3 linked regions of the Kluyveromyces lactis genome follow. The protein of the gene in region 1 interacts with the protein of each later gene in a pairwise test. Links are inferred from orthologs where the notes say so. Each region holds a gene or a part of one and is shown on either strand. Other genes may lie near its edges.

Region 1 (11,660 bases):
GTACATATCTCCATTGTGGTGAATTCTGTATAGAAATGTCAACTGATATATATATATATATATAATATTAAAACAATTTTTAGTGATGAAAATCCGTGGAACCGTCTTTAAGGAAAAAGGCAAGATATCGGATCTTTAAAGGAAAAACAAAGAGCAACGTTAGATGGACTCGATCCTATTAACGCCTGCAATCGTTACAGTTTCCCCCTATCTTGGCGTCTGTAGTACCATAACTCTCAAAGATAAGTAAAGCTTTTTTATTCATTCATTTATATAAAACTTGTATACATATGTATATTGAGCCAAAACAATAAATTCTACCGTAGAGTCTGGTTTCCCGTCAACCGAGGAATCAGATGAAGAAGCACGGACTAGAATATCTAGGTGAGATGTGTATCTTGTAGAATTTTTTTATCTCAAGCGCAAGCGTATATGAAAAGCAACAGGACTGTTATAAAAAAGAGAAGATCAAAAGGCTCCAAGCGTTCCCTTGTCATAAAAAAAACGAACTCATGCTGTTGCATTAGTTTATGTTGGTATAGCAATTTGAGACCCGTATCTACTTCAAGTTGAGTATCCTTGGCATCAGTAAGGCTCTTATTACCGTTTGGGTATAGATTCAGATCTTGTTGATCTGAGTTCTTTCGTTTCGTATTATTAGAAGGGAATTGGCGAAAGGAGGGCCCAATCATAAATTTTCCAAAGAGGCAGAGATTTCGTCCAATTCGGCCTTTGCAGCATCGTACTTGGTTTGTAAGTCGTCATATTTCTTTTCCAAATCATCTCTTTCTTGTTCCAAAGAGGTGACTTTTCTTTCCAATTGCTCAACCTTCAAATCAGCTTCTCTCAACTTTTCTGTGGTTTCCTTCAACTTGGAATCATTTTCCTCCAATTCTTCCTCCAATTGTTGATTCTTCTTGCTGAAATTCTCGTTATGAGATTTCAAATTGGTAGAATCTTCAGCTAGTTGCTTGTGTTCAGAGACTTGACCTTCCAAAGTCTCAACTTCTTCTTCCAAAGTTTGGTTCTTGGTAGTCAAAGACTTGATCAAGTTTTCGTTATCCGTCTTTTCTTGTTCCAAAACTTTCACCTGTTCCTTCAACTCTTCGTACTTGTCTTGCCACGACTCGGCTTCTAATTTCAAGTTGCTTAGCTTCTATTCGAACAAAAAACGGGGGCGATAGCACCCCCGCTTCACTTTCCAAATCTGTCACGTTCATTATTACTGAAATCAAATGCGGATCGCCATCAATCGACATACCGTTTCATATTTCAGCATTAAAGATAATGATCGTCAGACGAGGAATTGCATCTTGTTAGTAATTGCTTAATTCACATTGATCACCGGACCGAGAGGTAGGGGATCAAGTAGTTATGAAAAATCGCCACACATACTTCTCTGATCTTTTCCATTGTAGATGATTCGTATTAGTTCTTGTTTCAGGGAGCGTTTTTTGTGAAATTAAAGGTCAAATAACTCAATTGTTCACTACAGTAATTGACGAGTTTCAAACAATCAATGGGCACTAGTCTCTGATCTGTAATCAACGAACACACCCCATGTAAATCCTTCCTGATGTAATGAGTAAAAATACACGAAGCCTTTTAAGTTTGTTATTGTTTTTATATTTTCGATTTTCAGGCTTTTTCATACGTTCTGGATTTCCAAAGGCGGGAAACCATGAAAATCTGTTGAATTGATAGGATCGTCAGTGAGAATATGTGGTTTCAAAGGGTAACAAAGTCAGAAATGGGCATTTACACTGGATGCGATGATTTATTATGCGTATGTATTATATATTTGAATACATACTAGATATCTGGTATCGTGTCATTTAACAAAAAGCCATTATTTCAAGATTCGACTATATACGGGCTTTGCACATAGATAAAAGGTCGGTTCAAGAAAAAGAAAATTAAAAGTTCGACTAGACCAGGTAGTTTCCTTCTCCCAGCAGTCTATGATTTTGTAGGTTATGGATGGATTCTCTAAACGCAGCCTTCATTCTGTCGTTACCTAGTAAAGTTTTTGCCATCCAAGTTCTTAAGTTTTCGGATACCGTTTCCGAGATATGATGAATCTTGTTACCGTCTCTCCCAAATTGGAATGCTAGGAACGCAGATGATAGGATAACCATGACGGGAATCCAGAAGAAAATCAACATCTTATCGTTTCTGAAGTTTTGGCGTTGTTGGAAGAATCTGTTCAATCTTACTTGTAGGGCTTCTTCTTCATCCTCGGACGTTTCTGAAGTTTGAGAATCGTGTGAATCCGGAGCAGTATCGACACTGGCCTCTCTGACGATAGAGAGGCTCAATTCGGTGACCTTGTTCTTGCTTGTGTTCAATCCAGATACTGGGAATAAATCTTCATATTTAGGTAGTCCTTCTGGAGTACGAGCCGACCTGTCGCCTTCTTGCTCTTCACCGTTATCCTGGCTTAATTCTTCCGATGGCTTGACTGTCGTACCAGTGCCGTCTGCTCTGTAGGGATGCACATATGTCGAGAGTTGCAACTGGGATTCCCGCTGAGCAATGGTTAGTGAAGTATCGTCCTGTACTTCATCGTCCAATTCACTCATTTCGTCATAACCACTGAATTCGTACTCTGAATCGTCCGATAATGTATCCTGCACCATCTTGGAAACATGAACTTGGAAGCCGTAATCAACAGAGTCCAAAGATTCTGCATCGAATACGCTGGAATGGAAACTGGAGGTGCTTGATTTTCTTCCAAACATTTTCAACTCGTCTTCTAATTCGTTTTTTTCAATGCCACCATCATGCGTGGCCAATAAGCGCAGAGCATCTTCGATGTAGGAGTTGTTTTTCTCTGCAGCCGAAACATGCTGCGACTTGTATAGATCGAGAGCATCGACACCGTTGTCTGCCCTTGCTGTAACGTTGGCCTTACATTCTACTAAGAGTTGGATAGCCTTGACATCACCGTTGATGCAAGCAAAGTGCAATGGTGTGAAACCGAATGAATCAGTAACGTCAACTCTAGCACCTTTTTTGACCAAGGCAGAAACCAGATGGAAGTAACCCTTCAAACATGCCAAATGTAACATAGTTTGTCCATCTGAGTTACACATGGATAGGTTCGAGCCAGGGTTTAGCAATTTCACGACTTTCAATATTAACATTTCGTCTGAGTAGTATACCTGGTTGCTGGAGTTAGTGGCATATGAGTCAGCGTTATAGTTCGTCGAGGGCGAGATGTTTGAACTTGGTGTCGAACCATTCGAGGAGCCACCATCACTTCCAACAATTCTCTTGGCAATGTTTCTTGCATCTTCCAATTTACCATTCATTTTGAGTCCCACGATTTGCAAAGCTAGTTCAATCAATTGACGATCGGTATCGTCCACGTATGTAAAAATAGCCCTACTGTTTGACATGTTACCCAACAGTTGTTCATTACCATGATCTTCTCTTTCGAAAACAGAAACTAGTACTTGACCCGGTTTCGAAGTTGGTGGTAAATATGTAACGATGGTACTTTCACTCCAACACTGAGTAGATAAAGCTCTATTGTCGCCGAATTTAACAATCATATTAGGTTTGAAATTGGAACCCAATAGTGTCACTTCGATGCCACCTTTGATAGGACCTTGAGCAGGAATAACACGTTGAATAAATGGTTTTGGGCCGGATTCGGGAACAGTATTCGTTGTAGACGAACCCATCTGCTGCACTAGCACGTTAGGCCTTGGAAAAGCTGCCTGTTGTTGTTGTACTGGTGCTGCGATACCTGCAGCAGCAGGTTTCACAGACCCCATTTGAGATAACAAGTTTGGTTGTTTATTTTGTAACAAAGAATGAGGTGGACCAGATATCGAAGAAGAAACATCCAAAGCTGTAGTTACTGAGGTTGAAGAATTAGACAACGAGCGTTCTGACTTATTGGTACCGTCTATAGAGCTTCTTGGACGTTTATAACCATTCGTTCTTGCCGAGGCAGCTGCAGAAGAGTGGAAAAAGCCAGGAGTAGTCGGGTTTACTGGACCATGGTCGGTATGGACATTTTCTGAAGAATCCTCCGTAATGGAAGTTGGAGAGGGCATACCTTTTGGTATAGAAAGCCGTACTGGCGCTGAAGAGTCCTCAGCTTTCATACTCACGTAGGATTCGGAGTTACTATAATCGCTGGCTTGTCCTGTCATAGAATCTTCATCCTTGACATAACCATCGCTGGTACGGTTGTCACTAGATTTACCCTTGCTTGTCGTCTTTTTATCCATAATAACAATACTGTTTGTCACTGTTCTTGCCAAGATATTATCATCTGCATCTCGTAGAACCATCAACACCTTGAAACCTTCTGGCTCCTTATGATGTCTGCAGTAACATACGATACGGGTCATCAAAGAGAAATTTTTAGAGTTTTCATTGCATTCATGTTCTTTCATTAAGAGGACTTGTTTGCTATTAAAAACAATAGCTCTCTTGTTATCGTTGTTACACCAAAGCAGATTATCACTTACACCAGATTTCCGTCTCGCAGCTCTACGTTGTTCTCTTTTCACACACCTGGCACAAACGTATGTGGTCTTATTTGTTGACGAGCAAAGCAAAAAAGTCTCCAAAAACAACATCTGCCTCCTCACCTCGATGGGGTACTCTGTTATATCGTGAGTCAAATAAAGCTTCTGTTTCGTTATACTATCTGTCGGTAAATGGATCATATACTGTGGAGGTGGAGGGGAAATCGAGACGTTGACTTTAATTTGAGTTTCCACTCTAGATACAGAGGGGATTCCATCTACATTCAATTTGTATGGCAATGAGATATCATCATCATCCTTGGGGAGAAAATCAGTTGGGTTCAAATATACCGTCTTGAAAGGACGTGTTCTACCAAATTCCATCCCATGGGTAAGTAACCGTTCACTTTGTTGGTAATATGTAAGATTCTGCATTGGCACTCCGGTGTTATTACTGCTATGTTTCTCATCTCCCAGTTTCCATTGTTCGACATTTTCCCTAGTCAAATCGTCGTGGACATCTGTAACACCGCCAGAAGCATTCATCTGATCGTCAACATCCTCATGCTCATTCACATCCATAATTTCATCAGTATCTAACTTCAATAAATCAACATTCGTACGTAGCTGGTTTTCCATCTTCACAGGGGACACAAAATCCAATTTGAGTAAACCAGGAGAAGAATCGTCCTCTATCGATTCCATCAACATATCCTTATTAATATACTGGTCAAATAGGTCTGCAGCATCAATAGCATCAGAACTACTACTTACGTTGCGACTGCCCTCTCGAGGGCCGCTATCGCCGGCGCTATCCCTAGCTTCCTCATCGTTTCCTAAAAACAAAAAATCGTTCAAAAGATCGCCTTTAGACGTGTCTTTTTTCTCTGTAAGCATCCTTGACTTCAGCAAAGCACGACTATTCCTATCTAATAGTAATTGCCCTGGTTATATTATCGCTACACTGAATCAATACACTGTTGATATGGCTAAACAAATACATTCTCAATAACAAGCCGTGTTATCATTTGTTAAATCCTTGTAAAACTGTTTTCAAAATTCAAAAGTTCCAATATTGTCCGTCTAAGCTGATGCAAAACCGACAAAAATCCAACAAAACCTCTTCAAACTGGGCTGGAAATGTGTTTTTGGGGGATAATTGTGCGGTTCATTCTTTACAGAAGGACTACCCTTGATGGTAAGCCATCATTTTTCTGGCGGAAAATCCGCCAGAAAAATGTGTTTACCATCAACAATTCCCATCACGTGATTGTTTGTGTATTGAGTGTAAAGAACATACGTTTGGACATGACACGGACAATTTCCTCACCAGAGAAGAACTTTTCGTGTCTTAATGCATCAAAATTGAATAGATCTCACTTCATTGTAGACTGGTTTCCGTTCACCTTGACTCTTTTTCTCTGTTTGAGGTTACTTAGTATGGAAAAAATCCATTGCAATTCTCATCACTGGTGAAACTTGATAGCTTCCCTCCCCCCTTTAAGTACTATATATAACAGTTGTTCCCCGGGTCGTGACCTGTTCTAGTACAATTCCCTTATCACACTCTCACCAAACTTTAGTAAAACCAAGAACATCACAAATAATACACTATACCATGGACAAGTGCGATTATTCTGATGTTAAGAGAATACCAATCGAATCTGGATTGGAAAATGAACTATGTGCCATCCTATACACAGACCAATACAAGGAACTCGTATCATTATTCGTTGCATTATTACAACAAAATGAATTATCTGAAAGAGCAATGGCAGTAACTGCCGCGGTGATTGAGACTGTACCAGCGTTATACACCGCATGGAACTACAGATTCGAGATTTGCATGTCCTTGTTCCGGAAAGAAGATGTATCCGCATGGGAGAAAGAATTGGATTGGCTCGATGAGTTCACCTTAAATAACCCGAAAAACTACCAGATTTGGTCGTACAGACAAGCGCTACTCTCAGAACATCCATCCCCCAAATTAGTGCGAGACCTTCCTATACTAGACGTGATGATCGATGACGATACAAAAAATTACCATGTATGGTCGTACCGCAAATGGTCCGTCCAATTCTTCAAAGATTGGTCCCATGAACTCGACTTTGTGAACAAGTACATCGATAGAGACGTGTATAACAACAGCGCCTGGACCCATAGAGCTTTTTATTTGAAGAACGTCGATCATGTTCAAGAGGAAGGAGTAGCAGAGGTGGAAATTCAATACTGTATGGATAAGATATTGTTGGCTCCACAAAACGTAAGCCCCTGGAACCATCTACGTTTTATTTATAAGTCATTCAAGAATAACGAATACGATTCCAAGTTGATTAATTTTGCTTCGTCCTTCATAGATAACGCCTTGGAGACATATACCGACCAAGAAGAAAGACCAATCTCCCATGTTAAGTCTTCTTTCGCATTGGAGCTCCTAGCTGATGTATATTCTCAAACAGACTCGGAAAAGTCCAAGATCGCATATCAGGCATTAGCAGACACTTGGGATCCTATAAGGAAAAACTACTGGAATTTAAAAATCAGACAATTAACTATATAGGATTGTATTATTAACATACAAGGATGCCTTGTCGCGCAAAGGGCTCCCACATCCAAGCTCACTTGGCTATCCTACCCGTCGGTACTACAGAAGTATCATATCATCTCTACCTTCACTGACACAAATCACGTTTCTTTCCCTCAACTAGACTGGAAAAAAATTGTTCCAAGGCCAAAAAGATTAAAGAAGAAGAAGCGATGAGATGAGACGAGGTAAAGTTTAATGAGTGGACGGGAATCGCCTCAGAGAGAGATATTAGTACCGGCAAGTATTCATAAATAATCAGCTACAATCATCTGCAATGGCGAATACTGAATCTGATATTACAAGAGTACTAGGTGGGATCTATGTTGGTGGTATTCAACCAATTGCGAACCATGTTCCACTGAAAGTGAATTATCAGATCACTCACATCCTATCAGTGATCAAATTTGAGATCATTCCAGAATACTTGGTCAGGAAGAGTTATACTTTGAAGAATATTCCTATTGACGATAATTTGAGTACAGATGTGTTGCAGTATTTCAATGAAACGAATAGATACATCGATTCATGCCTGTTTCCCGATGAGATAGAGCTTGACCGAGTGAAGGTTGATTTCAAAAAGAAGCCCCAAAAGGGTGCCATATATATACACTGCCAAGCAGGTGTATCCAGATCTGTTACGTTTGCAGTAGCGTATTTAATGTACAGATACGGGTTCAATTTGAAGACAGCTTTACATGCAGTGAAGAGGAAACGGAGCGTAGCTGAACCAAATGAGAACTTTATGGAGCAACTGAAGCTGTATGAAGCCATGGGTTCGAATATAGTGGATGTCGAGAATAAAGACTATAAACAATGGAAATTACAGAATTCCATTAAAACTGATCCCTTGGGAGCCAATATCATGGCTCAAAATGAAATGTATAAGTCTGAAGAAGTTGAAGCTGAAAAGGTAGCTAAGTTATCGAAAGAGGAAGTAGAAGATGTTTCTGCGATCCGTTGCAAAAAATGTAGGTTTAGACTTGCATTTTCCACTTCTTTCATTAAGCATGATCCTCCAAGTAAGGAATCAATGGAAGGTCATTTCATTAGGAGGGCCGCAGGATCTAGAAGAATTATTGATATTCAACAATCACAAGACCGTTGTTCGCACTATTTCGTGGAGCCTTTGGAATGGATGAAGAAAGAATTACAAAAGCAAGAGCTTGAAGGTAAATTTTTCTGTCCGAACTGTGATAGCAAGATCGGAGGTTACAATTGGAAAGGTTCTAGATGCAGTTGTGGTAAATGGATGATTCCGGCAATCCATATCCAAACAGCTAAAGTCGAACAAATAGCATTAACTAGGAAAGACCTACCTAATTTAGTATCGTTTGAAGAATAATGGTCTCTCAGTACTCGCATAAATATCATTCATAAAGGTTAGCATTTTTTATTTTATTTGTTTAATACATGTCATTCTTCTTTAATAGGCATTTAGGTGAGGCTAGATACTCGTGAACCTTGAGCACCGGAGTCTAGAGTATCAGATATGGTCAACGATGGCTGTTCATGGACCGAATCCTCATTTTCATTTACAAATGGCAGTGCATCCACATTTGAATGCCTGGATCTTGACCGGTTGGTATAACTTGTATCAATTAATTGTGAATCCTCAACAAACGTACCTCTCGTTCTGTCGAGCATAGATCCTTGTTCGTGAACTTCCGCATACTCGTTATCGTAATCATAACTTTGATCGTACTCTTCTTCAGATTGTTCACCAACTTGTGCTGTCAGCAGTACCGATTGTTCTGTATGTTGATGATTATGATTTGACACAATAAATGAAGAGGAAGTTTGGTAGGCATTAAGTATTGGTTCTTGCCCTGAATTGTGTTCATTTTGTTGCTTGTTCTGTTTACTTCCCTTCTCCTTTTCGATCTCTTTTAGGGTTTTATCAATGCCAATAGGTCGCAAACTTGAGTAGCCAAGAGATCTTATCAGCAATAGTGTCGATTTATCTAGAATGTTAATGGTATTGGAATCAGACACATCTCCGTCATTATTGGCAATTAAAGGTTTCTCACTATGGCAAGTATACGCCGCAAGAGGAATCAATCTCTTCCCAGGCTTGATCCGTCTCTTGGTATCTTTATCAATGTTCCAACTCACCGGTTTCCCTTTTCTGCTTGTCTTGCTTTGCAGAAGCTCTTTTCGTAGATTGTTTATCAAAGGAATGTTATTGAAATCGGATGGTGCAGAAGGTTGTCTGAAGGCATCAAGGCCATACATAAACTCTCCAAGCCCCATATCTTACTTGTAAAGCCTACTGTCTCCAAAAATATTTTGTGAACAGCCTCTTAATGTCTGTTATTGCCATTGACACAGTGGTGTTTAACAGGACACAAGTAAATCATGATTTAAAGGTTTTATTTTAAAAGAAATAGAAAAAGCATCAACAAAAATAAGGAGAGCTGTACTACTCACCAATTACCAGTAGTTAAACGCCGGCGTCTTGATGGCATTCACTCCAGTTATCTTATATTTGATATGAATTGATAGAAGACACTAAAAAGAACTGAATATTATATATTAGTATGTATGTTTGAATAAACGTTATTGGTGTAACTACAGGTTACGCTTTCTTTCCATATGATCCAAGAACTTGTCAAAAGGAGTCTGTTTCCTAAAATAAGCACTTCTTTCAGCCATGTTAGCCAACTTATCGAATAAGTATTCTCCCCAGTCAAGATACCGTTTAATATAATTCTTCAAGTCAGACATTTCATAAGCGACAACATAATTGTTACTTCTACGCAATCCAGCCAATACCATAGACAACAACGCTAAGTCAATACTGTAATGAACTATATCTTTAACCTGATTGGAATTTGATAAATGCAGTTAAGATTACCTTTTAGTTAGTAAATCAAAGTCCGTTGATGAAAACGGTGGTGTATCTAACCACCTTCTTCAAAAAAATGAACGGTACGTACACCCATGATTCTTATTACAAATCTCAAATATGTCAGTTCTTTATAAAGCCAGAGTAAGACCAGAAAGGCTCTATTTCTCTACCTGCAAGTGACTAACACTATTGATTTCTTTGACAGATGTCATTACAATTTCGAGGAACATTTAAATTTAAATAAAACTGTTAACACCATCAAGAAATATTACCAATTTGGAGACAAAAAGAGAAGCTCAACGGGACACCAGCGGTTTAGCAACAGTTCTGTGATTATCTAAAAGTTAGCTGAGAAAGGAAATATGACTGTTAGCATTTCCAAGAGCAATCTTCTACGATTTGAGCCTGTGAAGTCCTTCAGAGTTTCTGATAAAGAATTGGGACCTATAACTTCAGTGACATTTGATGACCATGGCCAGTACTTGTTGACTGCAACTGCTAGTGATAATATGCATCTATATGATGCAGTAAGTTGCAGGTTTTTGAATACCATCGCTTCTAAAAAATACGGATGTCATTCCGCAAAGTTTACACATGCGCAATCAGAATGTATCTATTCATCCACTATGAAATCGTTTGACATAAGGCATTTGAATCTTGAAACAAACACATACCTTAGATATTTCCAGGGCCATGGTGCTCTAGTGAGCGATATACAAATGTCCCCGTTGGATGATACTTTTTTGTCTGCATCGTATGACGAATCGGTAAGACTTTGGGATTTGAGAAGCTCCAAGGCACAGGCCCTTATACCAAGTTTAGTCCCCACATGCATTGCTTACGATCCAAGCGGGCTTGTGTTCGCCATTGGTAACCCTGAGAACCATGAAGTCGGTTTATATAACGTAAAACATTTGAAGGCGGGCCCATTTTTAGTTATAAATGTGGATCCAAGCTTTGATCAGTGGAATAAATTGGAGTTTTCAAACGATGGTAAATATTTGTTGCTTGCGTCGTCCGCTGGAAAACATTTGATCATGGATTCCTTCGATGGTACACAGTTATTTGAATTATCAGGAACTAAACCTTTCCCATTGAGAGAGTTCATGGATTCTGGATCCGCAACGTTCACTCCAGATGGACGCATTACATTGGGAACTGATTACACTGGGAAGATCGCGATATGGAACCACGCAGACTTCATCAGTGGTAGGACGCTCAAACCTCAAGGATTTATTAACGCCGCACCAAATACATGTCCCAGAACTATTGCATTCAATCCTAAATATAGCATGTTTGTCACTGCAGATGAAACTGTAGATTTCTACGTATATAACGAATGAATTATACTGGGATCTGGATATATGACTTCGAAGCCAGACTCTACCCAGAGCACCCATCTATTTAGGAATGGCACTCGACATCTCGATAACATTTCCATGTTACCGATGACACAAAGCTGCCTTTTAGGTCTGGTCATCGCGACATTTAATCTTCTTTCATCTTTCAAGAACCCAACCTCGAAATTCTCGTTACTTCTTACTAAAGATAGGATGATGCACTCCTTTTCTCTACCTTGAAATCCGTCTACGGTAGATATCTCAATTGCTTGATGCTTTTCATGGATGAGTTTTTTCAACAGCGATACTTGTGAATTATACGGGGAGATCACACCAATACTTTCTTCCGTAACACCAGCCTTTATCAACTGCTCAACGTGGTATAATGCCAAATATGC
Region 2 (11,765 bases), on another chromosome or scaffold:
TGACAACTCTTCCCAAAGATCCGGATTCAATAGCGTCCAGTTTGGCACAAAGAAGCCAACATTCAGCTCTACGCAGCCTGCACAACCTACTGATATCGCGACTTATGTGGAATCGAATGAAGCTCCCCCAACAAAATCGTTATATGATTGGCAACGAGAGGATGAGTTCGGGTCTGTCCCCACTAACGTGAACGCAATGCCTTCGTCTAACCAAATACCTTTGACTCAAGAATACACTAAGAGCACAAGAAACGCATTCGACAGAGATGCGTCGAAATCCCCTGTAAAACCGACAGCGGATCAAACAAATGATATATCAAGACAAAAATCGCAAGAGAGCGCAGTAATTGTATTTGGATATCCAGAATCCATTTCAAACCAAATAATATTACATTTCTCAAAATTCGGAAATATTTTAGAGGACCTTGAGGTTCTAAGAGGTGTTACAGGTAACAACATATCCAGTGCTACTATTAGAATTCGTGCTCAAAATAAGGACTCTAAAATTCCTCATAAGAAATATCCTATCTTCACGGGCGATGGATGGATTAAAATCACGTATGACTCCCCTAGTGCCGCTCTGAGAGCTCTACAAGAGAATGGTACCGTTTATGGAGGTTGTTTAATTGGCTGCGTTCCTTATAGCAAAACAGCCGTAGAACAATTGGCTTCGTGCAAAATCGATAAAACTGATGACATCGGAGAAATCCCGTTCAGTTTATCGATGAAACCAAACGGACCTGAATCATCTGATATACAAAATGGGACACAAGAAAGTGCTGATAATAATAAACATGGGTTCACCTTTTCTACTCGGAAATTGGATGTCAAAGATGGAAAGCAGTTGTTTGTGCATAATGCAAACCCTCCTCATGGTGGTCCAAACTTTTTAAGAAATTTGGAGAACAAGTTACGAGAACAGGAACAGCATGGGAATAACCAACAACCAACAAATTTAATTGGAAGGGTCAACAATTGGTTATTCGGGTGGAACGACCTATAGTCTCATTGTCTTTAGTAATTAGAGATGTATTATGTTTATATAATTTACGGATACCTCAAGAAATTCCAGTGCACCAAACTTCAATGAATGTGAGTATTTGAGTGAATAACTACCGAAATGGTGAAGACGATGAATTCCGAAAGGGAGACTTTGATATACGGTTATCATCATCATCACCATCATCGTAATGTAACGTACCAGAATTGATGTCGGGAGATCGATTGAAATAGCCTTGTCTGCCTCTTCTGAAACGATCATCCATTCTGAATCTGTCATCAGACACATCGGGTATGCTATCATTTGTTTCATCCGGATAGTTTAGTAACCTATTTGCAAAGTGTTGTTTAATAGGACTATGAGAGTTTCTTCTCTCACTTATATTATGATTTCTAGATGCATTGGCCAACATGGAATGATCGAAATGAGGTTGTTGAGATGGTATTAGAAGTGGCGTGGAGGGAGCGGAAGGTGTATTACCACTTTGAAGATGAGAATAGCGAGAAGGGCTCAAACGCGGACTATGCTGTCTGCTAGGATACGATTCTCGTACATAAGCACCATTTATTGACTTAGGGTGATGGTACGAGAACCTTACGTAGTTTTCCGTACGCTGTGAATTGGCATCCTCGAATGAATCTGTGCGAGGATTATACTTTTCTTTACTAAGTTTCCCACTCAAAGTGTGGGTTGCAAAGACGTGCGACCTTGTAGTGGTGTAAGCCGGATAGAAGTAAACTATTCCATCGTTATAAGGTGTTGCGTCAACCATCGCATCTTGCTTCAAGACATTCATTTTAGGTTGAATAACTTTTGAATTTAATTCAGCCACACTGGACATGCTCAAAATCTGCTCATCCTTCAATTTCTGCTCGTATCGATCAATAACAATAAACCATAAAACATATTGGTGAATAATGATTGGAATAAGAGTTTTGAAAGTAACATCTGTCATCCACAAGAAACAGAATGCAATTGGAGAAAATGAGACAAAAAAAGATGTAAGAAACCTGCTTGGTGTCCATTTTCGTAATTCATAATAATGGGCTCTATTTGTCTCATCATCGTGAGACCCATTGAACAAGAGATACTTAATCATCCCCCATAAAGAGTCTCTTTTGGCGTCTTCGACGTAGGTATGGTTCAAATCATGAAGTGATTTTTTGGTTACATTCTTCGACTTCGGAACAGTTTTCCAATAAAAAATCGAGTAGGTCTGGAAATGCGCGAAAAGATATCTATAAGTTACCGAAATATTAGTGATTAATAACAACACCGTCAGCAGATAAAACAGGCGGTGCAATTGTCTTAACATTTTGTAGTATAAATTTTCGCTTGAAGAAGCGGAACCTCCATACTGCTGAAAATAATCATATTTCTGAAGATTCTTAGATTTTGAAAAGTCAAATGCATCATCAGAATGAGTTAGCTTATTGATGTTTGGGGCTATCACATTGTCCTGCAATAATCGTACGGAGAAGAAAAGGAAGGTTAGAACATTTCCTAAAGGCCATGCTACCGAGTTTGACTTACTATCCCAGTCAATCACAGCTATATCTTCGTTGATAGATAAGTACCAGTCGTAAGGTAATGAAAACATTCCCATGAACGAAGCAAACCATCCTAATTTTTCATCCTCATTATAATTATTATTATCTTCCCTTATATCTTCACTATTTTGGAACCTGTCAGGACTGGGGCTTCTTTCTTGTGAAATGGCTGGTGATTCATGTCTATTTCGCCAAAATGCCATTATTTATTTGCTTTGTTTCCGCGCTTTTGCATTAGTATCAACGGTAAACGGCTTGACAAAGATCGTTATGACCTTAATTGTTACAAATTTCATTATTTATCTTATAAATCGTTTTTGTTTACCTTTTGAGCAAACATAAATACAAATCACGTGATGCAATGTGATGGATATGCTTGTGGGTGGAAACCTCCACAACGTACTTGTTGAAATTATAGATCCGATTCGAATATAGCTCGGTGAGAAGTTCCGAGATTACAGATCACAACATCTGCATTGTAGAATATTTCTAACACGTACGATGCTGGCTTAAGTTCAATATTCGGTATCGGGAATGGTTTAACACTAAGATCATACCTTGTTTCTATTTGTTCAAAGAGGATTTCCTCTGTTTCTTTCTCGTACAAACGTAACGTGAGTCTTCCATTTGTTTTCGAAGCTGACGTGAACAGCAGAACAAATAACCGCGTGAAATTTGAAACTGATATTGTGATTCTCGTTTTGCACCGCAAAACCTCATTATATCTTAATCCCCCAAATCCTAACGAATATGGAGATAGTTCAAATTTTGACTGCTTTGTTTCAGGGTTTCGCAGCGTAAATATGAACGGAGAGGTAATATGATGAGCGATGGAGCATACTATAAAGTATTCTCTCCCTTTTAATAACCTTACTCCATGCTTGGAAAAAATTTGTGGGGAGTATGTGTCATTCTTAAAGATCGGACGTTGTAGGGCATAATCATCGGACTCAAATATTTGAAAATTCACCTTCGCTGGTAACTGCGAGACTAGCTCAAAATCTAGATAAGTATCATCGAAACCATCACTTTTTAGTTTGAAAACAGGACTTTTGAAATATTCAGAAGTACCAATAGTCCACTGATTATTTGTGATATTCCAGCTAGACTCAGCAGTTAATATATCTGATTTACATTTTGACATTGAAACCAAACCAGAATTAGATAGTAAATGGAAAGTCAAATTGCACTTTTTGTCTGAATGATAAAAGATTAGACGTGTTTCATGGGGGTTTAGCCGCAGTTGCATATTACAGAATCCACTATTATTCCCCTCCGCTGAGACAGCTGTAAACCCAGACCTTGGAATTTCACCAATTGTCAGGTTGGATTCGAGAATAGAATCATCTAGTAGGTGTCTTTCTAGATAAAGATGACAATTTTGAATGCTGTTTGATTTGTTCTCAATGCACATCAAAGGTTTTTGAGTCCAGGTAGGATATGCATTAAATTTATCTGGATATCGATCATGTAGTTTTACACGTTGAGTGTACTTTGAATATGGATCCCAATTTACATATAACCATTTGAATTCTTTTATTAGGTCGTCCCAAGTATACACAGTGGGGTTTTCAGTACCGTGAGGATTTAGGATGGTAAATTGTTCCTTCTTCCAATTGACAGAAGTCACAACAAAATCATGATTTTCTGTTACCTCTTTTCCCTTCACTGAATCTGTTCCTAAAGCAAGCATGGCATTGAATTGGTAACATTTACGTATTTCACTAAATGATACGTCTCCTAGGTTGAGAATCTCTGGTATCCATCCTGTGAGCAAATAAGTATCAGTAGCTGTATTGGATCCCCCATACGCGTAGTTCCGATTATTCTTGATTTCGAAATATGCAAGCTCAATCAACATATCTTCTATATTATGGGAGAAGAGAGTCAAGGCAGCCCCGTCTTTAGAGCATTTTGGAAAATTTGAATCTCGTAATACTGACACTAGTCGATTTGACCCATTGAAATGAAGAATCACGTTGAAAACGTTATGGACGCTATAACTCTTTATCTGATTTTCCTCTCTAGCATTGGTCAAACTACATATTAAAGAACAGTTGTTGACCCGCCTATTCTGTACAATACGTTCCTCCGTAGTAAAATCTGGCTGCATTTTGACCAAGTCAATTGGTTCATTCCCGTACTTTATAATACTGTCTAATTGTTGCAAATCATTCCAGGGTTCTTTGACCACTAGATCATCGCCCAATGGCGGATAACGCCTACCATACAAAAAAGACGTCATCCATTGGAACTTGTCATTGAAATTAGATCTTTTACGAGCATCATTAAACCAAATCAAAAACCGTATTAGCTGTTTGTCATCACTTTTCTCTATTTTGTCCACTATCGCTTTAAATGTGTTAATATCCCAAACGTTCTTCACGTAGAAGTTCCAGCATATCTCATACAGCTGGTTCCACACAGAGTCTGCTTGCTTTTCCAGCATAGCTTGCGCTCCTCTGGGCATCAGTCAATTAGTCATTTAGCCTTATTCTCAGTTTTTGAGGTTATCGATGCATTAAACTCATTTCTCAGTTATAAATATCTACCGTAAATGTTATTTGAATAAAGATTGAGGTTTCGTAATAGTAAATTGCCAGTTTCAGAAGCATCAAAGAGGGCGAGAACAGGAAAGCAAAGATCTGGACAAAGGCCAATGGCTATAAATAGTGCTACCAGGGCTATCAAAAAGATGAGTTATCTTCGAACCAATGTGCTTGGAAGGAAACGAGAAACAATAGAGCAAGAAGTGGTAGATGAGGAAGAAGTGATGGAAATTAGAACTTCAAATACAGGGCTGATTACTGAAACCTTGGTGGAAAGGGAAGAGTTAATAAATGAATGTCTGGAGCTTTATGAAAAGGCTCCAGAGAAATTCAACCATTTGCAGAAGGATTCTCATAAGATGTTCCTTGAATATTGGTTAAATAATCCATTACCTTCGGGATTCAAATCACTCGATGCCTCTCAGCCATGGCTGTTGTACTGGATTGGCAATGCCTTCAAAACAATGAATCCCACTTGGCTTACGAACGATTATCAGAAGCGTATTTTGGACAAGCTATGGTATATATCACCTACAGGTGGTCCCTTCAGCGGCGGAAAGCATCAACTACCACATCTAGCGGCCACATACGCTGCTATAAATTCCATCGCTCTATGTCACAATCTCGATGATAACAGAGAAATCAATAAAAAGGCTATATACGACTGGCTCATTTCTCTTAAAACACCTAGCGGCGCGTTCATGACTGCACGCCCAGTCGGCGAACAAGATGTGAGAGGCGTATACACTGCATTATCTATAGCGTCACTACTAGGCATTGTGGACTCTAAACTAACAAGTAATGTGACGGAATTCTTGACAAGATGCCAATCTTACGAGGGTGGTTTCGGAGGCTGCCCAAATGATGAAGCACATGGTGGCTACACTTTTTGTGCAGTAGCCAGCTTGGCAATGTTGAATGCCTTAGATAAGGTCAATATCGATGCGTTATTGTCATGGTGTAGTTCTCGTCAAACTAAAGAGGAGAAAGGTTTAAACGGAAGAAGCAATAAACTTACAGATGGTTGCTACAGTTTTTGGGTTGGCGGAACTGCTGCAATCTTAGAAGCATACGGGTATGGAGTATGCATAGATAAAGACGCCCTAAAACAATATATATTGAAATGCTGTCAATCGGAAGAAAGCCCTGGCCTAAGAGATAAACCGGGAACACAAGCGGACTTTTATCATACCAATTATGTGTTGGCTGGTTTATCAATTTGCGAACATTCTTTTATGGTCCGAAACAATTCACCCTTCGATTTTGTTGCAACTCCACTTGTGCCAGAACCGGAAGTTGAGCCTATTCATCCCATATTCGGACTGGCTATCCTTGACGTTAACAATTTCATTAATAGACGCGGAGAACCATCCATGTCTAATCTGTCAATGAAAGTGTAATGAATTCACGATTAACTCTGATGGCATGTGTAATACTATAAAACTATATACTCATTATGATACCTAAATTAACATGACTCCATAGGTGAAGAAAATAACTTTCGGAATATAATAAAATTGAGAGTAGCAATCATCGGGAATTATACTCTAACTATTAAATGCCTTAGTTGTACTATTTAGCCGTGGCGCTTTTCTTTGTGAATTTCCACTCACGATGATCTATCATTGTCTGTCCATTAAATTTGACATTTAAAAAACAATATCAGACATCCTTTAAAAGTTGTCAATGGTATCCATAGGGTAAATCTTCAGTAGAAGAAGAGAAAGCTTCACCTATATTAGAGGCTGTACTCTTCTATAGAAACGAATCTGCAACTGTTGAACATGGTATTCAACATTTTCAGTAGGCCGTCTCAGCAGAACCAACCTGCAGTGAGTTTTACCCCTCTCCCAGGATCATTCCCTGAAGACAATGATAATACAGAACAACCTGAACAGGAAACAATACTGAATGCTGGCGTTCCTAGAATATTAAAAATGTGCTTATACATTCCACTAACATTACTATATTACTTGCTCAATATCCTGTTAACTTCGGTGGAAGTTTTCAAACCAATAGGCAAGATCTTTCATTTCTACACAAGAAAAGACAATCATTTCAGCGATGATTTGGGTAACCAATTCGTAAATGTTATAGATGTCCTTTCTTCATCAGCCGATACCAACGAACAGAGTGGTTATACATTCGATACGTTGTACAATGTAGAGAATGGAATGTTGAGCAAAAATATGATTAAGGGTGGTTACACTGATATCTTACGTCGGTGTTCCAGCGATGGTAAATTTGCAATAATATCTTTCTTCAATCCGATACTATACGATCCATTCGAGTACGTAAGAAAGATTTTAACTTCCAACGAGTTTGTAGAATGTGTCACCAAATATAATTGCGTTGTATGGTTTTGCGATGTTACAACACCACAAGGGCTACAGACTGCTAATTCTTTAAAGATTAGACAGTTTCCATTTTTAGGTGCCCTTGGACCCCAACGGAATAATAAAATGAAATTGCTTGCCAGAGTGGAGGGCCAACTATTTGATTATGATTTCTCTCATTTTGAGGCCAAATTAGCCTCATATTATTCAGTATTAGTTGAGATTAGAAGGCAAAGACAGTACCAGGAAATGCAACGGTTATTAAGAGAACAACAAGATTCGAGATACCAAGAATCGCTAGAAAGGGACCAGGAAAGGGATAGGGTAATCGAGGAAAGCCAACTTAAAAAGAAATGGTTGGCTTGGAGAAAATCTGTACTAGTGCCAGAACCATCGGGTGACGGTTGCAGAGTAAGCATCAGACTAGAAAATGAAAGAATTATTAGAAGATTTGATGCTTCATTAACAATTGAGGAGATTTACGCATACGTTGCATTATACAGAGCAGGTTTATTATCTGACACTAGCAGCGAGAATGATATTACACAAGAAAAACCAAATTACGAGTATCAGTATGACTTTCAACTATATTCACCTGTGCCCAGAACCCGTTTGGAGCCAACCACAGTGATCAAGGAAGAACGGACAATTTATCCATCGGGAACAATTGTCGTGGAGTTCGAATGAAAACCAAATTACTGGTTTGCAGTTTGACATCTATATATGTATATATAACATGTACTTTATAATGCTACACGATTGCGGATTTATGATTCATGGGTGATAATAGGTTGGGAATATTTCATCAGTTTTTCTTACCACCCTTCTTCTTCTTCTTCTTTTTAATTAATCCAGACATACTTGTTTTTACAACATTAACATAATCCTTCCAAAATTTATCAAGAGTCTTTGAATCTACCAAAGTGAAGAATTTCGTTCGTTTCCCATCATATGGCATGCTCACTAGCACGATAAGTCTGTATGGTTTTGTATCTGGTTGAGCGTTTTGTTTTAAACGTTTGGATTCTGACATCTTTGAGATATCACCAGTAGGATTGGAAGTAACATCCAATTCATTAGGTTTTTGAACGTGATGACTGCCCAAGTCTCTTTTCAAGCTTACTTTGAGCTGATTGTGCGATACCTTGGACATTCTGAAAGCTTTTTCAAGCTTAACAAAAAATTCGTCATGAGACAAAGGTTTCTTTATGAAATCTGGCGTTTCCTTAAGCCCACTAGCGGTTCCATCTTTGTCTGACATAATGGGAAGTTACCTGTATATTCTGGTGACTTGGATAAGTGATGATATTGAACCTTTTTCTTTGGACATCTTTACCATATTCTGCCTGTCGAAGGTTGAATCTAAGGCCTTTCCCTCATTTGACTGGAGCTAAGTACGATTTTTTCAACTGGCAATTACACTACCCGGCCATCGTCCCTTCACTATGTGTTTCCTCTTTATTTCTACGACGTTTCTGATATCCACTCTGTTTCTATACCGGTAAACAAGTGCAAAAAGAATGAAATGTGGCAAACCACGTGACGTTCTTCATTACCCGGATAACATTTAACATCTGCGCCAGATTTGCCAAATCAATTGTGCCTATTCACCTGAACCCGAAAAGAAATTCGTTAGTTTTTTTAGAAAAAGAAATTTCCGATCCTCGATCTTGTTTTTCCCAACAAAAAAAAAAAAGAAAAACAACAGGTCCCCATACTATATGAGATGAGACGAGATGAGATGAGATGCGATGAGTTACAGAGAAACAGAAAGGGGGTAGTCATTGTCACTTTGCACTAAAGAGAAGCGTGTGTAAGCTTCTCTGTCATCAAGGAGATTACGGACTGTTTTTTGAGGTATCCTATTGGATATGTAAGTTGATCGCGTGATTTGCTACAGAGTTTTGTTGGCAATGTTACACCTTCAATCGATCAACTGTACATTCTCTCACCCTTGATGAGAGATCCGGGAGTATCCAGTGTTATTGTAGAAGCTCAATTGTCAATCGATGGCAAGATATCAGACATTGGTGTCTGTTTTGTTTTTTTTTTTTTTCTCTCCCTACTAGCCTTTGACGCATTTTCCTTTTGGTTGGATTTGGTTTCATAAAGAATCAGTGTCCCTCGCTGATTTCACCACAGTACAATTCGTAAAAAAAAAGAATTGAAACATTAAACCGTTAAGCGTAGCCAATACAATCGTTTATAGGTGCTTTTTTGTCCAATTGGATATTCGTTCTTAGTATTTATTTGTAGTATATAGTGAATAAGCAAGATTGTGTTACGATTGGTATCAGCAACGGAGTGATAAATCCATCCTCATGCCCTGTTAAGTCCAGGCCCTTGGATATCAACGGCATCAGTAACTTCCAATGTGGACCCTTTCTTGACGCGCGCTGGCAGGGAGATCAATGTAGTGCACTCCGTTACTTTTCGAAATATATATTTCTTACTTTTTTTTCTCGTTAACGCTGCTGCGGCGTATTGTCTAAATACATTAATTCAAATCTTTACCGTAATTTCATTTCCAATATATAAAACCAAAGGCAGTTTAAATTTTAAATATTAAGATTGTCCCAATTTTGGTCTTTTTGAGTTTTTGAGTTATAGAATATTTACATATATATAGTGATAGATTTGAGCAATCTAGTTCTATTTAAAAGGGACATATCATCAGGCTAATCTCTTGATATCTGTTTCGGCTGTGAAAAGGGGTTCTGCTGCATAAATTCAGAGCTTAATCTAGACTGTATCACCCGGTGTACCTTTTGGTATTGAATTTATATTCCTGATTTTAACTGGGCCCGCTTTTAGATTACTTGTGGACATTTTCCAATCAAAACAATGTCTCAGTCTCAGTACGTAACCGATGCTGAAACTACTACCGAGTCTTGCAAAGTCGCTATAGACACACATGGTAATGTGTTCAAAGTGCCGGATTATACCATCAAGGACATTTTAAGTGCCATTCCTCCAGAATGCTATAATAGAAAGTTAGCTGTCTCGTTATACTATGTGTTCCGTGATATCGCTATCATGGCCGGTATCGGTTACTTTGCCAATGTCTTTGCTTATCCATACGTCAAAGATCTACACGTTGCTGCAAGGTTTGTGTATTGGGCATTTTATGGCTACGTTCAAGGTCTTTTCGGTACTGGTCTATGGGTGTTAGCACACGAATGTGGTCATCAAGCCTTTTCTGATTATGGTGCTGTCAACGATTTTGTGGGTTGGGTTTTGCACTCTTACTTGTTAGTGCCATACTTTTCATGGAAATATACCCACTCTAAGCATCATAAGGCTACCGGCCATATTACTAGAGATATGGTTTTCGTACCAAAGACAAAAGAAGATTTCGTCAAGTCTCGTGGTATTCTTGCTGACATCGATGAATTCTCTGAAGACTCTCCAATTAGAACTTTGATAGAATTACTTACTCAACAATTGGGTGGTTGGATCTACTATTTGCTAACCAATGTCACTGGTCAGCCTTATCCAGACGTACCAAAATGGAAATGGAACCATTTCTGGCCAAGTTCTCCTGTGTTCGACGATAAAGACTACATTTACATTCTGCTATCAGATTTGGGTATTCTGACACAATCGTTGGTGTTGAAGATATGGTATGATAAATTTGGCGGCTGGTCTGTTTTCATTAACTGGTTTGTTCCATACATTTGGGTTAACCATTGGTTAGTGTTCATCACGTACTTGCAACACACAGATGCCTCTATGCCACATTACGAGGCTGACCAATGGTCCTTCGCTAAAGGTGCAGCTGCCACTATTGATAGACAATTCGGATTCATTGGCCCTCATATCTTCCACGACATTATCGAAACACATGTTCTGCACCACTACTGTTCCAGAATTCCATTCTACAACGCTAGACCTGCTTCAGAAGCTATCAAGAAGGTTATGGGTGAACATTACCGTTTTAACGATGAGAATATGTGGGTATCACTATGGAAGAGTGCAAGAACTTGCCAATACGTTGACGATGCTGACTCCAAGGGTGTTTACATGTTCAGAAACGTGAACAACGTTGGTGTCGGAACTGGTAAGAAGAAGAACTGAACTAGCTAACAATTAACTTGGTTTCTTTAGTTTCCATCAATTCATGACCAATTCTCCTATTTATTTCCATTTATACTTTCTCACCTTCTTTCCTACTTTCCATAGTCCACACTTATCATCACCACATGATATATTAATATGTTAACAACTTACTACATTATTTTACGAACTATAACTCTCATCGTCTTTTGAACCTTCTCATGATTTTGAATTACGCATATTAACCAAGAGAGAAAGAAAAACAGTTACAACA
Region 3 (9,797 bases), about 810 kb from region 1:
TAAACACTTTTTACTTCCATCAAGTGTTCATTACTTGTAACATTCCTATAGTAATGTAAGTGACTAATATATGATCATTTCAGTTTCTCCAAAGTTGACATGACATGAGTAGGTAGCTCAGGATTAAGGTTTTCCAACGTCCTGATACTAGCAAATTTTCGACAGTAAAATCAAATTTTCATTTTTCTATGCCGTAATGGCTTACCGGTCAACAAAACGCTATCCACTGTTCTGGTGGCTCCCCAATTCGAATCTCGTCAGTACCATACCAGTTCACCTCCAAAAGCATTCACCAATTTGCTTTTCTTATCACTATATACGAACCCAATACATCGCTCTCTTGTAAATAACAAGAAAAAAGCCAGGAAAAAAAAAACAAAACGCATCTTTCAGGTCGAACCTACACCGCGTTCTGAGTACTGTTAGAAATAAACGCTCTAGAAATTTTTCCTGCGTTTTCCTGTCCTGTTTTCCATTCGATTTCACAGAAACTCACAGTCGTGAAAATATGAAATGCTGGCGAAAACCCAGATTTTTTCACAGATTTGGAAATTGATATTTGGAAGGAAAAAAGATTCGAAGGTTTTCATTTCAATTAACATTTTGAGACACCCATTGGTAGAATTCGTGTTTATGATCTCAATTTGATATAAACCCTCTGTGTACTATTACTTGGAAGGCGATTTCAGAGTCATTAATAGCTTAAGTTTATACCCGAGGTGCCAGAAAGGATAGAGTTCTATTCTACATTGCAATTGTAACCTTTTTTATTGTTTTATTCTTTTAATCTAAGTGTGTTAAAGAAGAGATCTACATTCACTCACTCACGTATACCAGTTTATTCACTCGAGGAAGATATTGATTTATATCAGAATAGAGTTTTTTTGTTTTACGTTAAATTTGCCAACATAGAATAGCAATGTCTGCTGAAGAATCACAACAAGCACAAACTGAGACTGCAGCACCAGTTCCGGTTCCAGCTCCAGCTGTCGAACAGGATCATTCCAATGAAGCTACTACAACCGTCGAAGAGAAATCACCTGGAGCTGCTACCACTGCTCCTGCTACTGAGGAGGCACCGGCATCTGAAAAGCCTGCTTCTCAGGATAACAACGGTGACGGGGAAAAACAACAAGAAGAAGGAGATGAGGAAGATGACTCTGCCGCGCCTGTTTTGGCTACTCAAGGTGGTAGAGAAAAGTCAGATAAAATCTTATACGTTGGTAACCTACCAAAGAGCATTGATGATGATCTATTGAAACAATATTTCCAAATTGGTGGGTCCATTTCCAGCGTTAAAATTATTCCAGATAAGAACAGTCAAGAGTGTAACTATGCGTTTGTTGAATATTTCGAACCACACGATGCTAACGTCGCATACCAAACTCTAAATGGTAAGGAAGTAGAAGGGAAGGTCCTTAAGATCAATTGGGCGTTCCAATCTCAACAGGTTAACAGCGATGAAACTTTCAATTTGTTCGTCGGTGATTTAAACGTCGATGTCGATGACGCCACTTTGGCCGGCACTTTTAAAGAGTTCCCATCCTTCATTCAAGCTCACGTGATGTGGGATATGCAATCTGGTAGATCTAGAGGGTACGGTTTTGTATCATTTGGTGAACAAGATCAAGCGCAAGTGGCTATGGAAACTAAACAAGGGTTCGAATTGAACGGCAGAGCCTTAAGAATCAACTGGGCTTCCAAACGTGAACCCCAACAAAGTCAACAAGGTCAAAGAAGATTCAATGGTCCTGCCAGTGGCCGTGGTGGATTCCGTAATAACAACAATCAGAACCAAAATCACCACAATCACAACGGTATCAACAGACATGCTGGTCCACCACCACATCACCAAATGCAATCTCACCTACCCCCACAATTGCAACAGCAACCCCCAATTGGAATTCCTCCAATTCATCAAGCTCCTTTGGTTCCTCCTCCAGTGGATCCAGAAGCCGTTGAAGATATGATGAGAAGAGCTCCTCCAAGAGTTACCACTGCGTACATCGGTAACATCCCACATTTCGCTCAAGAACACGACTTGATTCCATTACTACAAAACTTTGGTTTCATCATCGACTTCAAGCATTACCCAGAAAAGGGTTGTTGTTTCATCAAATATGATACTCATGAACAAGCTGCGTTGTGTATTGTGGCTCTAACAAATTTCCCATTCCAAGGAAGAAACTTGAGAACCGGTTGGGGTAAGGAAAAACCAACTTTCATTCGTCCACAACAACAAATGGGTCCAATTCCTGGTCAACTTCCACTAGAAGAACAACAGCAACAGTTTGAAAATGCCCCTCAGCAGCATGATCAACAGCAACCTCAGCAACAAGAGCAATGAGTTCATTAAAACAAAAAAAATATTAATTGTTCCAACACTAGACATTTTTCTTCCATCCGAAATTGTCTGATTCTACATGTGATGATGACCCATTATTAACTTCCTATATATAATGATATAAACCGTTATTATTTTTTTTGTCCCCTAGATTTCTAGATCTGTCCATCATGTCCATGCATTATTATTAGATATATAGAAATTATCGTTGCCTTATGATTCTTTAGTGTGTACAAAGAGGAACGGACCTTAACGCTTACTGTCAAGTAAATTAATCCAAGTAGTACATCCTCATCTTTCTTATATAGTTTTGTTGTTAACTCTCGTAATCTTCTTTACCAGTGAACCCAAACCCATAGGCCTATACATTACATACGTCTGTGGTTCTTAAACCAAAAAAATGAAAAAAAAAAAGTTCAAAAATGTAACGAATGAAAGCTATATAACTCTGAAATTATTATAGGTTTTGCCATTGATAGGAACATACATGCCTGGAAAAGTATCAATTTTGCTGTGATAATCTGATACTGTTATTGTCAATCTGATATTCAAAGTTATCATAATCTTTTTACTGGAAATATTTTCCAATAACTGAATAGCAATAGATATTTTAAAGATCATCAAAGAGTAGGATTGTTATACGGATTAAGCTTTTTACAAATACAAAAGTGTGAAGAGAACTAGGTTTATGAAAAACCATAATCAGTTATAAAGATCCTATCAATTAATCGCTAGTCGTTTCGTTCAATTATACATTATTGTTTGTATGCTAACCACGATTTTAGAGAAGTTAGGCTTTGAAGAAAAGAGAGTTTTAAAAGCGGTACTAATTGGATTAATTGCTTCGCTATACTTCCTGTACAAGAACGAATTTGATATCACAAGAGTGGCTGTTTCTGTTGTAAGTACCACGAAAGAAATTACACAAGCAGTAAGGGATAAAATAATGCTTGGTCGATGGGCTCCAAGAAATGCGGAGCAAGAGGAGACTATTGTCAGAAGAGGTGGTTATGTTGGAGGTTTAGTGAATGACGGTAACACATGCTTTATGAATTCAGTGCTCCAATGTTTGGCCTCGTCCAAAGAGTTGCATAAATTCATGGACACTATTATCCTAGATTCTAATGATGACAGTCAAAATACAATTGATGAGAATGGAGAAGAATCAGATTTGCCTAATGAGCAATCTACTGTTGAGAAGAAGCCTAAAGCAACAAAGAATAAGACATATGGAAAGAGGAAAAAGATCGCTGTACGTCAAGCAGACAACGAGCTCTTAAAAAACTCAACAGAACCTAATATGCATTTCACATTGGCTCTTCAGGATCTATTCTCAAAGTTGAATGCGAAACATTACCGTAACAGACCATGGTTTAAGACCAACAAACTTTTGAAAACTATGTCAAAAGCTCCAAATAGGAACATCATCCTAGGTTATGATCAAGAAGATGCTCAAGAGTTTTTCCAAACTATCCTTTCAGAGCTGGAGAAGAATGTTGAAAGCATATATGGAAAACCAGAAAAGGATCCAAAGCCAGTACCACAAGATGATTTGCCTGAAGATGCAATTGTTGGACAAGAACACCTCGGCGAGATTGGTGATGTCTATATCCCAACGGAACAGATCGACCCAAACTCCGTGCTTGCATCTGGTAGGAAATTCTATTCTCCATATAAAATTGTTACTCCCTTAGATGGTATCACTGCCGAAAGAATTGGATGTTTGCAATGTGGTGAGAATGGTGGGATAAGATATTCAGTCTTCTCAGGTCTATCTTTGAATTTACCCAGTGATAACATCGGTTCCCCAATCAAACTGTCACAACTTCTTGACGAGTGGTCGAAACCTGAGATCATCGAAGGAGTTGACTGTAATCGTTGTGCATTGAACGCTGTTTTGGAACATTTAGTAGAACAACTGAACACCATCCAATCACAGCCAGATGTCAATCAAAAACTAGTAACCTTGATGGAGGATAGGATCAATGAAGTTAAATCAGTGTTGTCAAAGCTTGCCATCGATGATGATGACTATAAGAGGATGCATACTGAGAACATGGTTCGCAAATCCTCAAAGTCAAAACAAATTTTGATTTCTAGACCTCCACCATTGTTATCTGTTCACATCAACCGGTCCGTTTTTGACCCTCGCACTTATATGATCAGGAAAAATAACTCAAGAGTTATATTCAAAAGCAAATTGAATCTATCACCTTGGTGTTGCAATTATGATAAGATTAATCTTGATGCACGTCTTCCGATGTCCAAGAAGCAAGAGAACTGGCACGAATCATCCGAAGATGACAATAATGGAACTGAATACTACAATAAGTTGCATCGCAGATTTGAAAAAGAATTTGAAGACAGCGATGAAGAGGAGGATGGAAGTGATAATGGTCAAGGAATGTTCAATGGATCTTCAAGAATGGTGGAAGAGCATGATGTTTTGAATGGTGAATTAAGTTCGGCATCGTTGTCATCATCCGAAGACGATATTGCTGAAGTCGAAGAGGTGGAGTTAGATGCCCTTGGAAATACAATCGTAAAAAAGACTGCCAAAAAACCATTATTAGGTGGCAATCAAGATGTGTCTATCTCCAGAGGAAACCTCGATATAGTAGATGCCGAAGGCAACTCTGAGCAAGAAGATGATCCTGAAGATGATGATGAGGATGAAGCTTATGAAGAAGACGAAGCTGAAGAAGACGAGGAAAACTCCGAAGAAGAATCAGATGACTCCTTGCCAACACCTCCGCTTCCTCCTACACAACCAATTGTGTCCAGCGTTCCTGCCGGGCCTTTGACATATGTTTTAAGATCTGTTATTGTACATTATGGTACTCATAACTATGGTCATTACATTGCATTTAGAAGGTTCCGTGGTTGCTGGTGGAGAATTAGTGACGAAAGTGTTTACATTGTCGACGAACAAGAAGTGCTTTCTACCCCCGGTGTTTTCATGTTGTTCTACGAGTACGATTATGATACAGAAACAGGGAAGATGAAAGACGATACTGAATACGAGAATGAATTCAACGTAGAGATTGAAGGTGAACCTGCTGTTGATCAAGTAACTCATTGAATTTTATTTTGCAATTTCACGCATCTAGTTACATAGATACATAAATATCACAAATCCCCTAATATAATAGCATGTTACAATCAGAGTTTTGGAGGAGTTTGAAACGCTGTACGTAAACCTCTTTACTTGTGAGAACAAAAAGGCTCACACAAGATTTTCCTGTGTCTCATTTTCTTTACCCAAATACTGGGCATACCTTGCAGCTTCCTCTTGTTGTTGCTCTCTTAAATCCTCCGCGATCAACTCATCAACATCATAATCAAATTCAGCTTCGTCCTCATTGTATTTACCAATGACACGCTTCTTCAACCCTGTTTTCCCATCGATTTCGAACTTCCGAGTCCCAAATCCCTCACCTTCTTGTGATGAACTAACTTTAAACTTCACAGGTGCATCCTCTTTCTTCAATTTTGCATATTTTGCAAGGGATCCAGCCTTTTCCGAATCTTTGGCATCACCACTGCGTCTGGTAGTCTTCTTGTCCACTGAATATGAACCAATTCCTCCAATTAGCGGTAGTAATACAACGAAAGCTACCACTAAAAGAAACACAATTAAATATACAAATGGGTTCATTGCGAAAGGCAGTACTGACGTCTAGTTGGCACTTTTCGTCAAGAAGTTGATATTATATCTTAAGAAACAGTTGTTTCCCTTTGTATGCATAGCCATTAGCCATATAGTGTGAGTGTCGGCTCATCGATCTTTTTTTTTCAATATAGATTGTGGAAATTAGATATAAACTTAAAAGACTTGAAGGACCTTTTCAGTTGAAGTAGGTTGAGAAATCACAGTTTAGGTACGTTATTCTCTATCACGTTGAGTTCAGCATACAACATATTGAGGTGCGAAAACTGAATCAGTCCTAGTTGCTATTAGCTTGAATTAGTAAATTTACCTTGAGGCTTGCGGGAACAGACAACGTTCAAAGGAATTATTCGGAGTATTGAATTGATACAGTAGGAAAGAAATTAGAAGATAAGGAATAAATGCTAGTGAAAAATAGCTCCAGGGTCATTAGAAGCGTCATTTCCAGACGTAGTATTGTTACCAAAGCGATACCTAGCATAGGTCTCGCAAGAACTGCACCAACTAGGGCTCCTGTGTTGTCAAAACTCGGGATTTTGAATCAACATAATCTACCCTTTGTTACAGTACAGCGGATGCATAACAGTATAGCAGCATCAACAGATGGGAAAACTATCCCAGAAGAGATTCTGGATATGCCTATCGAAGTGTATCACGAAATTTCTGATGAGTTTATGGATAGCTTACTGGATCAGCTCGAAATTCTCTGTGATTATCATCCAGAAGTCGTGCAGGATGTTGAGATGTCACAAGGTGTGATGAGTATAGAAGTTCCTTCCGTTGGTACATATGTAATCAACAAGCAGCCCCCAAATAAACAAATATGGTTGGCTTCTCCGGTGTCTGGGCCCAACCGATTCGATTACTATCAAAAGGAGTGGGTTTCGTTGAGAGACGGTACGAAGTTACTGGATATCCTAAACAAAGAGCTCAGTGACCGACTAGAAGGCGACGAAATTGACCTACATTACTGAACGATGTAAATATGATCTTGCTGCTCACAAACTGCCTTACAACTATGGCATGTCCGCAGTTCACCGTTAAGGACCCAATTTCGCAGAAACAATTCAGAGATCACAATCAACCAATTTTACTCTTATTTATGTATATACTTTTGTTTGTTTCATTTATTTATACCTATAACGTCCAAAATATACCTTACTGACGCGATTGCACTTACACAGTCCCTGACTTCTTTTGTTCTTTATAGTCTATACTTTGTTGCTATATAAATGAAATCTGTTTGACTCAGTAACTTTCTCTTCTATAAATGAAATCTGTTTGACTCAGTAACTTTCTCTTCTATAAACCACATTTGATAGTCTCGGTAAAGAAGGGGTCATTCTGAGCCAGAAGCAAACAACCCCAATCATAACAATCATGACATTCAAATCGTTCATTATCACATTCAAAGACAGCGTTCCAGAAGCCGACGCTTCAAAGATCAAAAACTCCATTTCTTCTCTGGGTGGTACTATTGTCCATGACTATTCCTTAATTAAGGGATTTGCTGTCAAGTTGCCAGAGTCTCTAAAGATTGATAAATTGAAGGATTTGCACGGTGATGCTTTCGAAACTATCGAGGAAGATAAAGAGGTCAAAGCTTTATAAGCAGGGGATCATATTGAGAACGTCCGAGTCATACATGATGGTTGTTCCTTTTTTGTCCCTTTACTCAAGATCTTTGATCACTCGAAATATCGGGCAGGGCCCTTTATTCGCAAGAACAACTTTTAGATTATTACAACAAGAATAGAAAACCGGTACTGTCGAATGTCAATTAGATAACGTCTATATATTTGCATTCATATCTGTAATCTTATAACCACTTCTGGTATTCATATCAACGTCCTCTTCTACGGGATATCTCTTTTCATCTAACTGTGCTTATGTTCACCTTTTCTATTATAATGGAAAATGATATCTAAGAACATATTAAGTGCGAATCTCCAGTTAGAAAGATCGATTAAGACGGAGGATAAGACAACCAAATAGGGAATTAGAGGTGAACGGATGCTATATTTCGGATGCAAGGAGTGATGGATGATAAAAATGTGGCAAAACACATAAAATTTTGTCAAAGACATTTGCAATTGTTGCCGTCTCATCGCCTGGATATAGATCCCAATAGGTTAGCCATTGCGTTCTATTCGTTGACAGCGATTGAGCTATTGGGCAAGCCAGTGCGCAAGGACTTCCAATACAGTTTGGATTGGATTAGATCGTGCTATATTGAACTTGCTGATTACTCTGGCTTTGCCATCCCGTCTTTTAGACACGCTAAGCAATTGACTACTATAAATTTACCAAATACATTATTTGGACTAATATGTCTTATGTTGTTGGGGGATCACGAATTCTTTGATGAGAAGTTGAACCGTGATACGTTGGGCAAATTCATCTCATCTTGTCAGTTACCTGATGGGTCATTTACCTCTTTTCTGGATAATGCTGGATATCCATCGAAGTTCGATTCCCATGATCTGAGGTTCTGTTATATTGCAGTATCGATCCTATATCTTATCGGATGTCGATCAGAATCGGATTTCTCTCGGTATATTAACGTTTCTAAGCTGCTACAATATATCATGTCACGTCAGTGCACAATGGGGGGATTTGGTGACTGGAACGAGCCACACGGTGGATACACATCATGCGCGTTATCTGCTCTATCTCTACTAAATCAACTACAAAACATTCCTGCCTCGTTTAGGCAGGATACTCTTCATTGGTTGGTGAACAGACAGGTTTCTGCTATTGGTGTCTTTGTTGAACAGGATTTAAACGACGATTACGATCCGGATGACTCAGGTGGGTTTAACGGGAGAGAAAATAAACTTGCGGATACGTGCTACGCGTTTTGGTGTTTAAATTCTTTAAGAATCTTAGAGCCCCAACGTTGGAGTCAGCTTATTGATGTTCCACTGATACGAGATTATTTACTGAATCAAACTCAGAATAAGATGGTGGGTGGATTTGCCAAGAATGATCAAGATGACCCTGATATATATCATAGCATGATGGGAATATCCGCTCTAAAATTGATAGATGATGAGATAAATGGGGTGCTCTGTATCCCGAAACTAATAATGGATAACTTCAACCTGCGTTGAGTTATTGAATTTGTAACTTTTAGTATGTATCTGTACATATTTATTAGCATTAACCCATTGGAGAAGAAAGAATACAGTGGCTAATTCAAGCTTCTATTTACAGGTTTCTTCTTATTTCTTTCCAACTAGGTGTTATTGTGCTCATTTGTTTATACGAACTTCTTGACGATCTCTTCATAAATACCCCAAGCGATTCCTGCACTAAATGCTTTTCTTGTAAGTCTAAGGCTGATACCGGCGAAAAGGTTCCTGACGCTCTCCTTCGTTGCAATATGCCAAAAAGTTGATGTAAAACTGTGAAATTTAGCTGGTTCCAATTGCATTCTTGTTTTCACAGTATCGAAGGGAGCTGTTATAGAAGTTGCTATCACTGCAGCAGAAAAAGCACTTGACCCATTTATTAACGTCGAGGCATAAGTCGAGTATCTATTATCTGAGTTGAGTTTTACAACATTGCTAGGCAACAGTGTAGGAACCAAAACCTTCATCCGATCGTAAAATAACATGTATAACCCTGCATATGGAGCATCTCTTAGGGCAGTAGCTCCAAAACCTCTAAAGAACCCACGTAACCCTTCGGTTCGGAAAATATGTGATGTGGCATATCTTAATGATGTATACTGATACAACGTCGACTCATACCGCACTTTAATAACGGTGATAGGCATTG

What was found.
Region 2: the proteins of RAM2 (region 1) and RAM1 interact in binary tests that used the Saccharomyces cerevisiae proteins (3 or more experiments, as listed by UniProt). The link is inferred for Kluyveromyces lactis from reciprocal best matches to the Saccharomyces cerevisiae genes RAM2 and RAM1.
Region 3: the proteins of RAM2 (region 1) and CDC43 interact in binary tests that used the Saccharomyces cerevisiae proteins (3 or more experiments, as listed by UniProt). The link is inferred for Kluyveromyces lactis from reciprocal best matches to the Saccharomyces cerevisiae genes RAM2 and CDC43.

Annotation. Positions count from the first base shown.
Region 1 is NC_006041.1:1,598,087-1,609,746, forward strand, and holds RAM2 (bifunctional protein farnesyltransferase/protein geranylgeranyltransferase), read left to right. Parts: upstream 1-6,105; coding exon 6,106-7,047; downstream 7,048-11,660. Other genes in the region: KLLA0_E17931g (tropomyosin), read right to left, coding at 689-1,156, 1,396-1,413; KLLA0_E17953g (uncharacterized protein), read right to left, coding at 1,929-5,384; tyrosine protein phosphatase YVH1, read left to right, coding at 7,349-8,416; MND2 (Mnd2p), read right to left, coding at 8,509-9,324; MCO12 (Mco12p), read right to left, coding at 9,643-9,894, 10,011-10,016; WD-repeat containing protein SWD2, read left to right, coding at 10,285-11,265; ATP-dependent 5'-3' DNA helicase HCS1, read right to left, coding at 11,247-11,660.
Region 2 is NC_006042.1:677,520-689,284, reverse strand, and holds RAM1 (protein farnesyltransferase), read left to right. Parts: upstream 1-5,209; coding exon 5,210-6,499; downstream 6,500-11,765. Other genes in the region: FG-nucleoporin ASM4, read left to right, coding at 1-1,003; NUR1 (Nur1p), read right to left, coding at 1,113-2,753; RIM13 (Rim13p), read right to left, coding at 2,963-5,020; clathrin-mediated endocytosis regulator UBX3, read left to right, coding at 6,884-8,122; RNA-binding signal recognition particle subunit SRP14, read right to left, coding at 8,241-8,696; KLLA0_F07095g (uncharacterized protein), read left to right, coding at 10,280-11,512. UniProt on the Saccharomyces cerevisiae protein: Catalyzes the transfer of a farnesyl moiety from farnesyl diphosphate to a cysteine at the fourth position from the C-terminus of several proteins having the C-terminal sequence Cys-aliphatic-aliphatic-X where X is Ser, Ala, Met, Cys, or Gln.
Region 3 is NC_006041.1:781,881-791,677, forward strand, and holds CDC43 (protein geranylgeranyltransferase type I subunit CDC43), read left to right. Parts: upstream 1-8,041; coding exon 8,042-9,127; downstream 9,128-9,797. Other genes in the region: PUB1 (Pub1p), read left to right, coding at 920-2,347; ubiquitin-specific protease UBP1, read left to right, coding at 3,111-5,426; EXP1 (Exp1p), read right to left, coding at 5,571-6,002; YFH1 (ferroxidase), read left to right, coding at 6,416-6,988; PBI2 (Pbi2p), read left to right, coding at 7,395-7,625; HEM25 (Hem25p), read right to left, coding at 9,277-9,797. UniProt on the Saccharomyces cerevisiae protein: Catalyzes the transfer of a geranyl-geranyl moiety from geranyl-geranyl diphosphate to proteins having the C-terminal sequence Cys-Ile-Ile-Leu or Cys-Val-Leu-Leu. Acts, among other substrates, on Rho1 and Rho2 and CDC42 proteins.